Oryzias latipes: one gene and its partner. The protein of the gene in region 2 purifies or fractionates together with the protein of the main gene of each other region. This does not show direct contact. Links are inferred from orthologs where the notes say so. Each region holds a gene or a part of one and is shown on either strand. Other genes may lie near its edges.

Region 1 (6,984 bases), on a different chromosome or scaffold from region 2:
CTTGTCCTTCAAACAGGAGGTGTCCCTTCCACAGACAGGTGAGTTTGCAGCTCCAGCTGGAAAACGAAGACGATGTGATGAAGCTGCAATCCGTCTTTTTCACTTTGGAAACCTTCGATCCTCCGTGGATCCACCTCCTCCACGGATGAGTTCTGCTGCCTTTACATTTCAAACGGGAACGTTCGTGACTTTAATCCCGAACATTTGCAGTGGAACACGTGGATGAAACTCAGGAAAGTCCGGTGAGCATCTTCATCTCACAGAGAAGACGATTGGACGGATTTACCGACCAGAACATCTGATCATCAGGAATGTGAAGCTCTAAGCTTCTGAGGAGAATGTGGAAGCAGGAAGTCACACTCCAGATCCCAAAATAAAAGTTTGAACTTGTTTTTTTCCTCCATCTTCTGAGGAACGTTCATGTATACAACGTTCCTTCAGTCTTAGTGTTTCCTGATCTGAAAACCTTCAGTTCACTTGATTTTTGGGGTTGAAGGTTCAAACTTGGCGTAAAGGTGAAATAGAAGTGCTGGAGATGTTTGTGCAAAAACTCCTTAGAGCAAAACCTTCTGGTTGCTCGTCCCCCCCCTCCCTCGGCGGCGCTCCCGGTCAGACGGAGGGAGATGTTGGTGGCTCCTGAGCTGCTGCCGGCACCGACACCAGGTTCAGGGTGATCTCCCCCAGCGGAGACTGACTAGCCAGAGTCTGGAGCACGGAGATGGACTGAAAGATGGAGAGGGCGTTCTGGACCTGCTCCTCCGCCCAGGGAATGGAAACCTGCAGAGGAGGTGTAGACATGGAGAGGATGCTGAGGAGGAGGAGGAGGAGGAGGAGGAGGAGCAGGAGCAACACCTGAGCCTAAAAGCAGGCCAGTTCTGACAACCCCTTCATCTAAAAAATACTACAGAATGTGAAATGGGTCAGAAATAACAGCATGGTTCTGGTTCTGTCTGTGTGTGTGTGTGTGTGGGGGGGGGTCTGAGTGGACCTCCTCACCGTGGCGGTGATCAGTTTGGTGCTGGGGTCCTCTGTGTGAGACAGCTCCTCCCCAAAGCACAGAGTGAAGCTGCACTGGGGGGGCTCGCCCCCGCTGGTCCGGAAATGATCCAGTTCTGCTCAGACGGGAGGGAGGGGGGGGTTAGGCAGACAGAAACATGAGCACCAACCCCCCTCCCCCCCATTGGACAGTGGGACTCACGCTGCCTGAAGATGTCTTTACTGAAGAGCAGCACCGGCTCCGTGTTCCGCTCCATGCGCTGCAGACCCGCTTCACAGCCATGCGGCCCGGTCCAAAAGACCCGCCCCTGGCAGAACCTCTTTCCGTAAACGCCCTGCGGTTGGGAGGTCAGCACCACCCCCCTCTCCATGAAGGGCAGCAGGGTGAAAATGGCTTGGCGCTGCTGGCCGGCGGGCAGCGTGGGGGGTGGCTCCGGCAGCAGGATCCGCGGGAAGCTCTTGTTCAGGGCGGCCGGCGTCGGCGGCAGGGCGGACGACGGCTGGTACAGGATCCTGACGTCGGAGCCGTGGATCTGCCGCCGGGCCACCTCCTGCCCCAGATACTGAACCGCCACCACGATGGAGTCCTGACCTGCAGACAGCAAACATCCCCGTCACCGTCCGGGGAGGGCGGGGCTTCACGAACGTCATCCCGCCTCCCGTTACCTGGAGCAGGGGGGGAGACGCTCTCCTCGATGCGCACGTCCAGCTGGATCTCCCCTAGAGCTGCAGAAACGCCAAACCCGTTACGGCGAGGAACATCAAGCAGAATCCTTCAGTGGGGGAAAAGACTCACCGTCGGTTTGCAGGACGGTGCTGCTCTGCGGGGGCTCCTCCATCGGTGACGGGATGGCGCTCTGCAGCAGAAGCTCCACCTCCAGCTGTTGGAATGAGGAGGAAGAAAGCCTTCATGACCTCCCCGCCGTTTCCGATAGCAACCAAACCAACCAACCCAACTTCCTGAAGGATGTTCAGCGGGAGGCTTCGGCACCGTCCCGCCTAACTCGCCTGTGGGGGCGGAGCCTCGTCGGTTTTCATCTGTTTGACCAGACTGGGTTCGCTCTGGGCCTCGCTGCCGCGCCTCTTCAGCTTCCTGCTGCCCTTTTCCTTGCTTTTCTTCTCGGGCATCACCAAACCTGGAGCGGGAAGTACAAAAACCTGCCGCGTTAGCCATGCGGGTGGGGGCGGGACACCGCCACAGAGCGCGCTCAGAGAGCACCAGCATGCACGGACTAACTTAGATATTTCTTTGAATCTGTAGACGTCTATTACTAAATGATTCATTAACTATTTCATGTCAAATTTTTAAACTTCTGCAGGAAAGATAAGGGGTTAGATAAGAAACCAGGAAAAAGTAATAGAGACTCTAAAAAAAAAGAGAGCCTCATGGTTCAAATTGGGGGGGGGTAAGCAAAGTGGCCCCACCCTGCTCGCTGATGGGGACGAGCCGGTAGACCTTGTAGGGCTCCGAGATGTCCAGCTGGGCTCGCTCCGGAACCTCCTGGAACTCCGGACTCTTGTTAAGAGCGCAGCGGAGGCGCGTCTTCCAGCCAGCCGGGTTGTCCTCACCGCCGTCCGTCAGCTTTCCCTTAAACTCCGCCCACGCCTGCAGACACGGAGCCGTCAGTCTTTAGCAGCCGCCATCGCTCCGGTCCTGATCCACATCCTCACCTTAAAGATGGCGGCGTCTTCGTCTTTACGAAAGTCCTGCTTTCCGGCGTGTTTCCAGGGGATCCGGAACATGGTTTTGGCGTCGTCGTCCCACATGACGCCCGGGTACTTCCCGCTGCTGACCTGTGGATCCCAGAAGACATCAGAGGGTCGCTGGTTTGAATCTTTTTGTAGTTTTCCTCCTAAATGTGATCCAAACACAGAAGTGACCGTTGCAGTTCCACAGCAGACCACCAGAGGCAGCGATCTGCTGAACCCCCCAAAGTTAAAAAGTCAATGTTCTTAAGATGATGGTCAACAACTTTCCCAAACCATTGACGTAAAAACGAACGGACGGCTCAACCCCCCCCCCCCCCCCTTTATGTTCCCAAGGAACATAGGGGGGGGGGGGGGGGGGGGGAGGAAGTACCATTCCAGTACCGGGCGCCGCCATGTTGAAACCAGTCGACAGTGATTGGTGCAGGTCACTCTGGGTTATGGTATCTATGGCAACTACTGTCGGCATCGCCATAGATACGAGGACTCAGAGCGACCTGGACCAATCCCTGTCGACTGGTTTCAACATGGCGGCGCCCGTATCAGGAAGCAGTGGCGAGGGATTTGGCCTCATTTCGCCAGAGCTGGAGGTCAGGCATGCCCTGTGGGTGACGTCACGCCTCCATGCGTCCGTCGTCTATACAGTCGGTGTGGTGAAAACCAAACTTTGGAACACATGACATCAAACTGTGAGCAACATTTAAAGAATCTACGTGTCCGTGGCTCATATGAATGAATAAGGTGTATCTCTGCAACACACAGAGATTATATATGCTGCAATATTTACACCATCAGTAATCCACAAGATTGATTGACATTAGAATCCAGGTTGACGTGTTAAGTTTACCCTGACCTTTGTCTGAAGGTTTTAATGCATCAACATATACCGTGTTTACTTTAGGACAGGGCATTTTATCCCCCCACCCCCACCCCACCTGGAGGAGACTCACCTGCTCGATGATCCACGAGCGCAGCTTGCGCGTGGAGCGCATCCTCACCGCCACCATGGCCTAATAAAACGGGTTTTTTTACCTAACAGGCGGAAGTAACCTGTAGGCATAAACAAGAAAACGCGGTTATTTATTTATTGATTCATTGAGTTGAACTAGATCTTTTTTTTTCATCATGACACCTCAAACTAAAAAAAAAAAAAAACTTATAAACAAGTGACAGAACAACAGCAAAACGAGAAGTGTGCGCGAGCGCGCGCGGTCCATGTTTTTCAGAAGAAGATGATAAGCCGAGCTCGTATAATCTCGCATGTTTCGGACCGAAACTTTTCAGTTAATCTATTTTTATAACAGTGAGCCCTAACACCCCACCCCCACCGCTCCCCAAATCCACAGTAACGGAATTAGGTTTCGTTACCTCTGCGGTGTTTCCTCTGTGAAGCCGTCGCTTTCTGTTGCTCTCAAGTTCGAATCCGTCAGTCCCCGTCCAGCCCCCGGACACAGCCTTTTCCCCGAAACCACGTGACTTTACCGAAACGACCCACCGCTGACCGCTAGAGGGCGACAAAGTACACCGTTTATTGTGTTCAGGAGAACAAAACACAGAAACAAACACTCGGGATAGAAAAGCAAACAAAAAGACATAAAAAAAGGGTCGACTCCACATTAAAGCATTATTCAATTAATTTGCTTCATCTGTCCTTTAGAAAAATACATTTTCAATACCAACAGGGGTATCTCATCAGCAGTCATTCAAACCAACTACATCTTCTGACTGGATGGTTCAACATCCAGTCAAAATCAAACCCTGTGCAGGAGAAAATGACACAAAAATGCCAAATCTAAAAAAATGACAGCTAAAAAAGATGAACAAAAATCAACTGACATTAGGATTCTACATTAATAAAAATGAGTGCTTCCTTTCTGAACCTTTGCGCTTCTGTTACCCTCAGTGTAACCAGCCAAAACTTCCCCACAGGGTAATTACCCAAACATTACACTCAAAACTTCTATACTTCCTTAAAATATATTTTAAAATAATAATAAACCATTTAAGGGTACACGGTAATCACACAACAGAGCAAACTTGAATAAGTGTGATGTCATGTCCTGTTTACCAGTGTGGAGAAAAGAGTTATGACGCATGTTCCCGTTTGACAGTGAATTCTGGGTAATAAATGCCAGTAGGTAATTTTAACTCTTTGTCACATGGTGAGAAAATAAGGCAGAGATGCAGCCCAGAAAAAAACGATGTTGACTTGCAGGCAGGTTTGCACAAGTGGAGGAATGAATGAAAAGGAAGTGTAGAACAGGGATCCTCAACCCCTGGACTGAAACACAAAAACTCACAGACGCACAACGGATAATCTCACTTCAGGTTTATTCAGGTCAATCCAACATTTTAAAGAAACTACAATCATGGTTCCACCTGATTTTTATTGAGCGGGTTAGACAGTCAAATCGGAACGATCAGATCTTCAAAGATGAAAATGATTCGTGGCATGAAGCCGAGACACGACCACAGAAGAGCAAACGCCGTCAGTGAGGGGAGACAATCCTCCATCACAGACACAAAACTCAAGCTGATGCCACTTCCGCTGCGTTTCTTCATGTTTTTCGAGGAACTTTCTCTCCCAGAGGAACCTCCATCAGTTTCTGTGGGACACAGCAGGACGTGCATGAGTGGGGGGTGTATCAGCCGTGGTTAGGCCGTCCCGCAGCTCACCACTAACCTTCAGCAGGCGGGCGTGGTAGTCGTTGTCGTCCTCCGCCTCTGCCCTCTGCGTGTCCACCTGGTAGCGCTCACAGGCCCGGGTCAGCTCCTGGCTTTGGTAGAGCGGCGCAGGATCCAGGGAGTGAGCGTTGATCAGACTCACCAGGTACTCTCTGTAGTGTTTGCTGCAGGGCAGACAGGGAGTAGAACCCGCAGCTTCAGAGGAGCTTCAAAAGCCTCACAGAGATGCTGATGTCCCGTCCTTTGAGGAGAAATTTCTCCTTTTGATCTTTACTGTTTAGCTGCTTAAATCCCCACTAATATATAAAGTCTTTGTAATTTAAACTGAATTAATGTGTTCTCATCAAAAGCTTCATTTCTGCTAACCGGTGATTTCAAATAAAAACAAAAATGCCGTTTCTGCCAAGTCCCACCACCATTTTTTTATTCATGATGAAGCCGTTTTTAGCCAAAATGTAAATAAATGCTGTTGTTTTCATAGTGTCTGCAGAGCGGCAGGAGTTCATGACAAATCTGACACTGAGTCGGCCCCCTTAGTAACCCCGCCCCCTCTTCCCCTCGCCATTGCTGAGAGTTCGTGGTTTCTACGTCACATATGCGACCTTGTTCCTCTGCCCCCGACTCATGATTGGAATCAGGAAATCCTCCGATACGTTAAAGCAGAGCTCATAATGCAGACGTTTTACTCACTCGCAGAGTCCCGCCTGACCCGGCTGCGTTTGGACGCCGCAGGGAGAGTCCACCTGCTGCCCGCCCTCGTCTTTCTGCTCCATCACGCCGCAGGCGTCTGCGTCAGAAGCACTTTAGAATCCTCCAGCCTTTGGCGGCGGAGCGGCGGGCGGACACAGACTTACCCGTTTGAGCCCCGCTGGACGGATCCGTGTTGTAGCCGACTCTGTTCCTCTGAGCACAAAAAAAACAGAAACGTCAGCGTGACGGCGTCAGCGTGACGGCGTCAGCGTGACGGCGTCAGCGTGACGGCGTCAGCGTGACGGCGTCAGCGTGACGGCGTCAGCGGCCCTCTCCTCTTCGCAAACACAGAAGCTGACCTGCAGCAGCGCCTGCAGCCGAGCCGCATCCCAGTCCCGCAGGTAGAAGAGGCAGTCCCGAGGGTGGTGGGCGTGCAGACCGGGGTAACTGCACTGAGGAGCTTTGCACGCAGTCTGCAGGAGAGCAGCAGATGCTGTGAGGATCAAAACATCTCATACCTTTTAAGAAAATACCTCAGAGATGGGAAACAATCAAAGAACTTGAACATCCTTTCCGTCTGCAGGAAGCCCCTCCCACCGGCCCAGCTACATCTGAATGTTTGAGCTTCAAACATGGCAGAGATCTTTCCTGTTCCGTTTTCTGCATTCTCATCTGAGCATGTGCAGAAGTCACCTGCCGCTCACCTTGTGGTACGGGTTGTTGCAGCCGCTGCAGAACTGGTACCTGCACTGGGAGCAGGTGAAGTGCATGCAGCCGCCCTTGGTTAGCGCGTACTGGAAGCCGCACTGGAGACAGGCTGAGGGAGAAACGGGGACGGACACCTTAGTCCAAACAGGCTCCTTTCACTTCAGACCGCTTCTTCCCGTTTCGGGCCCTTCTTTGAAC
Region 2 (7,201 bases):
CAAAAATCTTTAAATTTGGTGGACTAATAGTAAACTACATTTTAGACATTTTTGTTTAAATAATATTTAAACAAAAAAATATTTATTAAACACAACGAAACCAATGTGTGGTTAAAGGAATTGTGTTGATAAAATATTTGCATATGTAGCTAACTGTTTCAGGCTAATTAGACGAGCTCCTGCTACAATTCTAAAATTTAAAAACCATTTTTTTCTTTTTCCCTTTACTGTTAACCTCTGCTTTAGTATTAATAGGTGATTTTCTTGCCTCTTTTCTGCATTATTTTAAAAAAATAAATGTGGGGGATTTGGCGCCCCCTGGTGGACTTTAAAATACAACACAATTTCAACTTGGAACAAAAACTGTGAATAGAGTTTTACAGTAAAAATTAGAATACATATATTCTTTAATCAGTGTACTCAAACAAATATACTTTTTTATTTGTTAATAAGTGACTTTTTTTGTTTAAATTGACATGTGTTAGCCTAATTTAACAAGTTGTAACAAGTCTTCAAAAACAAAATTAAAAAATATTGTTTTTACATTTGAGAAATATTGTTCCATAACTGCTAAGTTTTAGAACCTGAATGCTAATATTTAAATTTAGAATTGGTGCCTCTGGACACAATTTAAACGTCAAATAAAAATGTCAATAAAGGTTTACATTTAATCATCATGTTGAAACTAAGGTCTGATTAAAAAATACTGTTAATAGTTAATTGAAGATGCAACAAAACAGATCTAACCTCTGATGGGGCGTTTGTGGGCGACTGTAAATGTCTGGAACTTACCCTTTCTTCTCCGTAACATCTCTAAAGCATCAGAAAGGAAAACGCGTTAGTGGCTGTGAAAAGCAGCGACTTCACCACGCGGCAGAGAGTCAGAAGTCTTACTTGTCGAACACGGCCTTGACCTTGATCTGGTAGTTGAACTCCTGCAGCTTCACCAGAAACCTGGGTGACAGGGAGGCGGGGTTTAGCCGTATCTTTCCAGGGGGGTTTGTCTCACCCAGCTTCCCGGAACGCAGCGGCCTTACCGTAGTTTGACGGTGAACTGGACGCCGGTCTTCAGCACCAGCGGCCTCTGCGGGTGGGTGGGCATGCACGGCTGCCGCTCCACCACCAGGGAGCTGCACACAGAAGGAGGAGATGCTGACGCGGCGCTTTGCAAAAAAAAAAACACCAAACCGTCTAAAGGGGGAGGAGCCTACTTGGAGAGAAGGTTTTTGAGCAGCTCCAGAGTTCGCGCCTCCAGGAAGGCTTTCTTCTGCGTGATGGGGTCGTTGTCGTACGTGAACTTCTGCTCCAACTCCTGCAGCTTCTTCAGGTGCTGGCGGACCTGCTGGAGGCTCTCCGCCGCGGCCGTGAACCTGCGAGACGAGGAGGAGGAAGAGGATGTGGCGGAGGAGGACGCCTCGCTGAAGGAGATCCTCGGCGGGTTCTCACCAGTTCTGCAGCTGGTCCACGCAGGCGTTTGGCGGGCCGCCGATGCAGGCGATCTGCTGCCGCTGCTTCCACTCCGGCAGCTCCTCGGAGATCAGGTCGGTCAGGAGGGCGTGGATGACGGTGAGGAGGTCGCTCAGCTGGATCACCGCGTCCTGGAAGGAGGAAGCGGGTGAGCCCCCAGGCCTCCCCGCCGGCTCTCAGCGGCGACGCCTCGGCTCACCTGACGCTTGGATTTCAGCTCGAAGCCCATCCGGGCGATGCCCATCTTCTCCTTCTCCAGCTCCTTCGCTGTCATGCCGTTCATCTCGTTCTCTGCCAACAAAAGACGGGATGAAAGGCGAGGCCGCGCTCCCGATCCCGTCCACGCCGGAACGCCGCCTCACCTCTATTCTTCAGGGAGTTGACCCTGAAGTCGTACTCGTCCTGCAGGTCCTCCACGTTCTTGATGTTCACGTCCACCATCTGAAAACACCGAGAGCCCCCGGGGTTAGGAGACGCCGCCGGCTGCAGGAGCTGCAGTGGCTGCAGTGGCGGCGTGGCGTGTGAACCCCACCTGGACTCGGTCCCTCATCTCCTTCACTTTGTTGTCCAGCTTCTGCTTCTCCACCACCATGGCGGACACCGTGCTCTCGCCCTCCTGCTACACAAACACACGCCTCTGTCACCCCTTTGTCACGCCGGCCCACAGAGCGGCGCCGCAGTCTGCGAAGACGCCTCACCTCCATGCTCTTCGCCTTAGCCAGGATGTTCTGCTCCTCTTTCAGGTTCCTGGAGATAATCATGGCCATGTGGACCGGATCCTCCTGGAACCGATCCTGGAAAGGGAGAGAACAGCGGTGAAGTGGCGCCGGCGACTTCCGGGTGTCGGAGGGGTCGGCGGGACTCGGACCTGCAGGTTCCTTTTGATTTTTCGGATGTTGTGCTGCAGCAGGAAGTTGTTCTCCAGCGCAAAGCGGCTGTGCTGGTCGTCCAGCTGAGCCAGCAGGTCGTGGAAGCGAATGGTGGCCAGCGAGTCCTGCATCGCCACCGTGTCCCTGTAGGGGGAGGGAGGGGTTGGACAGGTGAGCGGCGTGGGCCGAGGCGCAAAGCTGGAGAGCGCCGGTCTGCCCGCCATTACCAGTCGATGCTCTCGATCCACTTGCTCAGGTACTGGCGGATGTCCATGGGGAAGGAGTCGTCGTACAGCTGGTCCACCTGCTCCAGGTACTTACAGTCCAACATCTGAAGCTGGCCCCACTGCGCCATCTTCTGGGAAGGTCAGGAACTGCAAACAATTTACCAAAACATTGATAGAAAACCAAAGAAACAGGAATTAGCATGGATGCTAACTACGCTGTTCAAATTTTCACTTCAATGTGAATTTGCTAAAAATATTTCCAAGGAAGAAAGGGGGAAAAAATAACTAAAAGAAAGGAAGAAACTTCTCCAAACTTCACAATTTTGATGGCTAGGCCATCACAAAACTTTATTTAAATACACAAATACTTCTTTTGCTTTGTGGTTGTGCTCCAAAAACAAAAATACAGAAAATATTTCAAAGAATTCTGACAATCCTGTCTTTACTAGAGTCAAAGGTTAAGGCAGGTGTGGTCTTTGCTTGCAGGTTAAGACAAAGTAAATCAGAAATACTCGCAGCATTTCTGTTCCTATTTTTAATCATTTTCAAATTTTCACTTTTACATTAATTCGCATTTTTTTCATTAAAGACTTTAAAACAAAAAAACGTAAAATGAAACCTCAAAAAAGGAAGAAATCGCACCATTTTGGTGGCCGAATCTTCATTTAAACAAACAAATGCCTGTTTGGCTTTGAAGGCTGCACAAACCACATAAACAATAGAATAATTCAAAAAATTCAGACAATCCTGTCATTTCTGGGGTCAAAGGTCAAAGCAGGGGTTTTTTCTTCTTTTTTTCTTGCAGTTTACGACATAGCAAATCATAAAAGCTCACACCATAAATCCTCCTCGACTCACGTCCAGTAGAAAATAATAATAATTTATAACAAAAACTTTCATTCAGGTTCTACTTTTAGAAAAAATTTCCACAGATTTGTTAACCCACTTGTTTAAATAAAGTTATTGACGGTGGCACCGCTGCAGACACTTCACGTAACGTCACTAAAATTGTTTACTTTAGCTTAAATCTTTCACTACTGTTCTATATTGTCATCCTTTAATGTCTATGCATAGTTTATTACATACTCGTAAATTGCAGACACATTACAACGCGTAATAACCATAAAATGTGACGCAATTCGTCGTTAAAAACGTTGCCAAGGATGAAGAGTCCGTTATTACGAGCTTTCATGAAGGCGGCACTACAAAAAACACCAAACTTGTTATTATTTTATGCATTTTTCTCTCATTATCTTTTGTTTTGTCCCGCGTCGCGCCTATATGTTAAAGCGTTAGCACAAACGACAGCTACTTGGTAAACATGTGAAGATTTAAAGGGTCACAACTGCATTATTTATGTGCTTTTTATGGAGTTTTCTCCTAAAGTTTATCACTAGCTTTAGCCGTGTTCAGGTTGTTGTTGCAACTAAACTAAACGGGCAGACAAAGATGGCGACACACAGTCGGTCAAACGCGGTGCCAAACTTACCTTTCACAGCTAAAGGTTGGTTCCGTTTTCAGACAATTCTGCTGTATTTGAGCAGTTTTTCCTTTTCCCAATGTTGAGGAAAGGAGCCTGGCAGGCAGAGACACGCCGCTTCCGTCGATGGACGGTCAGACCAATCACAGCTCAGAACGTCCGGCGCCTTCCCGCCTCCGTCTTCTTTGTAGCCAATCAGAAAACAGTCCACGAGGCTGTTCCTTGAGTTACAACACTAACTTTTCACAACGCTTAAACAGAAGGAATTATCACTTTATTTGGTCAAAAATGACCGAAGGATTATATTTTTACGACTAATTTATGTTTACGAAGACCCCGAAGGTTGCACACAGTCTCTAAATCCTCATACGAGTTCTAAAAACAGGATAAGAATCGTTTTTTCGGAGGGAGGGAACGCAAGTAGTAGAACAGCGGGACGGGATCACGTGTTTTCAGAGAAAGAGAAAGGGGTAAAACTGAAACTTAAATAAAAGTATAACATTTAGTGTATTTTATTGATTTACTCTTTGAAAATGATGTAATATCACACTATAAATAGTCTAGAGTGTAAAGTAGTGCTTTAGTTTTATAAATATTGATATAACATGTATACACAAATATTTTTTCTATTTTTTGACATACACATTTTGTAGTTTTGTTTTTGATTTTAGTTAATAATTGACTTTTTGAATTTAAGGTTTAGTTTTTAACCCAACCAATTTAGTTAGTTTTAATGTCTATTCAACTGTCTGTTTGTTGTTTGTTTTTTACGTAGCTCGCAATTTTGTGTCATTTTTCCCCCCAAAACATGTCCTTAAATCTGGTTTTCCCATGTATGATACTTGACTGCTAGATTCTCGCCTTTCCCATTGCAGTTATCGCCGTCCTTAATCCTAATTGCCAATTTGTGAAGATGAAGGGGTTGTATGATGTCGTATTTGGCCAATGTGGAAGCAACAAAACAAACACCGACACCACTATGACATGTGGGAATTATAATTAAAAGTATATTAATGTTTTATATGTGAGTCAAGCAAACATGAGACAGGTGTATGATAACTTGTGACTTCAAGTGAAGGGTGACAAAGGTTAGAATGTGAACCTGGAGGATGTGCAGGATGTGGTTAAGGGAGCTTCAGACAAAGATCAAAAGAGGAAATAAAGAGTGACAAAGGTCAAAAGAGAAAGGTGAGTTAACCTGGAGGCTTTGTTAAAAATAACTGAGCAGGATGTAAGTTATGCATACATTATGTGTGGATCAATAAAAAGAGCTGTCCGACAAGGGGAAAGCAGAGTTTTAGCACAGTCTGTGTGAGGAGCAGATGTGAGCAGCTGTGCTGGAATTCTCCCTTTGCAAAGGCGAACCAAAGTTTCAGGGTGTGAAGTCTTATTATTCTAACCTTCAACTATAGGATCCTTCTGACTCTGAATCAGAACCCGGGGAAGTCAATTTGGGCTTCAACAGCCATGTGGTCAAATCGGTGTTCCTCTCTTATGCTACGTTCACACAAGCCATGTGTAAGTGTCACTGAAAAGGTTACAAGATTAGTTCATTTTTGGTTAATATCTTTAATATCTTTTCGGAGCTTTCTTGAGGTGCATAATAAAGTAAGTAATAAACTATTTATTTTCACAGTTCAAATATTGAGGAAAGACTGGTGATTTTTTTTTTAGCTGTTTCCAGGAAAAACAACAACAAAAAAGCAGTTTTCTGGATAATTTAAAGAAACATTGATTAGAGGAAAACCCATCACTGCAAAAAAGAAAATTCAGAAAACAAGAGAAAAATCTATTATTAAATCATAAAACACAATAATTTTCCCTTTTTTAAAGCATAAACTAGACATTGCACATATTTACACACAAATTATAAAAAAATGTTTACGCACAAAAGATATATTTTACACAAACATTGCACCTTTTTAGGCACACATCTAAATTATCAACACACTAATGTCGACTTGAGCGTACAAAACACAAATTTACGCACAACCTTCTTTTTTTCTTTAAAAGCCATTGACCAGGCATTGTACTTTTTTGGTCACACTTATTGTGTATGTACGAAAAAATGTCGACGTTTTACGCACAGAAGACACATTTTCGCACAAACTTTTAAAGCATTAACCAGACATTGCATCCTTTTGGGAACATGTTTCGCATCTTCACACAAATATCAAGGTCTAAATGAATTTAATCATATCTCAATAACAGTTACATAAAAAACTGGTTGAAGGTATAATTGTCGCTTTAATGCTCAGGTAAAGCAGAAAGAGCAGTTTTTATGAAATTACACTAATATTGTAAACTGTTAAGGAACTTTTTCTTGAATATAACCGTTTTACATTAACCACTATCAAATGGAAACAAAAACTCACAGTGGTGTAAGAAAAATAAATTAAGAAAAAATGTCAAAACAAGCAAAACCTCTGCATTACATGAGAAAAGGCAGTGTGTACTTTGGGCCTATACTGCCTGAACAAATGCAGAGTAGTGCAATTTTTTGAGGTATTATTTAAAGAAAGATGACTATAGTATTCATTCTATTTATATAGTATTGTTTCAACTTAGTTTTACATATGTATCATCAAGTCATTTTTGAGGGTCTGCAGCCTTTGTGGTAGTTTACCACCTTCTAAAGCAAGTAAATCTTTGGAATGAATTCCAACGCGTTGGTCAGTGTTTTGGGATATTTGAGGAGCATTGCATAGAGTCCAAACATGACCACGAAAGGCATCACCGGATCTGGGGAGGCTGGGGATCACTTTCAATCCCAACAGAGATTACTACAGGCTCGTACACGAGATTTCCTTTTATGAAAATTGCCTGTTTGTCTATCATTTGCCGATAAACTTAAAAAAATTGAATTTTTTTAAAGCCGCCATGGACATTGTGTGAGCGACAGACACGCTCCAACCAGCAGGTGGCGTTAAAGCGCCATGACCGCCATTAAACGACAGAAGAAGAGAGCAAACAGGGCCGCTAGCAGCGTTAGCTTGTGTTGAGAAGACGGTGGTGTTTTGTTGGGACGTTTGTGAGGTTTTTGGACAGAAAGGACGATACGTGGTTCATGTGGGAACTCTCAGCATTTTCCAAAGTGTCGTAAATGAGTGAAGAAGTGTTGAACGGAAAGACAACGTGGATTGCTGTGATTGTGAGAC

What was found. Proteins that work in one complex are often made in the same cells at the same time.
Region 1: the proteins of signal transducer and activator of transcription 1-alpha/beta (region 2) and irf9 purify together in Homo sapiens (affinity purification with western blotting; 5 studies listed by BioGRID and IntAct, with this or other methods). This does not show direct contact. The link is inferred for Oryzias latipes from reciprocal best matches to the Homo sapiens genes STAT1 and IRF9.

What each region holds. Positions count from the first base shown.
Region 1 is NC_019878.2:23,623,530-23,630,513, forward strand, and holds the start of irf9 (interferon regulatory factor 9), read right to left. Parts: upstream 4,185-6,984; 5' UTR 4,072-4,184; intron 3,754-4,071; 5' UTR 3,711-3,753; coding exon 3,654-3,710; intron 2,791-3,653; coding exon 2,668-2,790; intron 2,603-2,667; coding exon 2,422-2,602; intron 2,133-2,421; coding exon 2,005-2,132; intron 1,878-2,004; coding exon 1,793-1,877; intron 1,723-1,792; coding exon 1,663-1,722; intron 1,589-1,662; coding exon 1,199-1,588; intron 1,113-1,198; coding exon 997-1,112; intron 778-996; coding exon 610-777; 3' UTR 1-609. Other genes in the region: E3 ubiquitin-protein ligase RNF31, read right to left, coding at 5,262-5,309, 5,387-5,552, 6,079-6,175, 6,243-6,291, 6,438-6,551, 6,783-6,895.
Region 2 is NC_019860.2:3,990,038-3,997,238, forward strand, and holds the start of signal transducer and activator of transcription 1-alpha/beta, read right to left. Parts: upstream 4,186-7,201; 5' UTR 4,053-4,185; intron 2,733-4,052; exon of another isoform or gene 2,711-2,732; 5' UTR 2,692-2,710; coding exon 2,564-2,691; intron 2,481-2,563; coding exon 2,336-2,480; intron 2,262-2,335; coding exon 2,166-2,261; intron 2,087-2,165; coding exon 2,000-2,086; intron 1,909-1,999; coding exon 1,830-1,908; intron 1,759-1,829; coding exon 1,667-1,758; intron 1,599-1,666; coding exon 1,447-1,598; intron 1,371-1,446; coding exon 1,212-1,370; intron 1,131-1,211; coding exon 1,038-1,130; intron 955-1,037; coding exon 895-954; intron 814-894; coding exon 793-813; intron 1-792. UniProt on the Homo sapiens protein: Signal transducer and transcription activator that mediates cellular responses to interferons (IFNs), cytokine KITLG/SCF and other cytokines and other growth factors.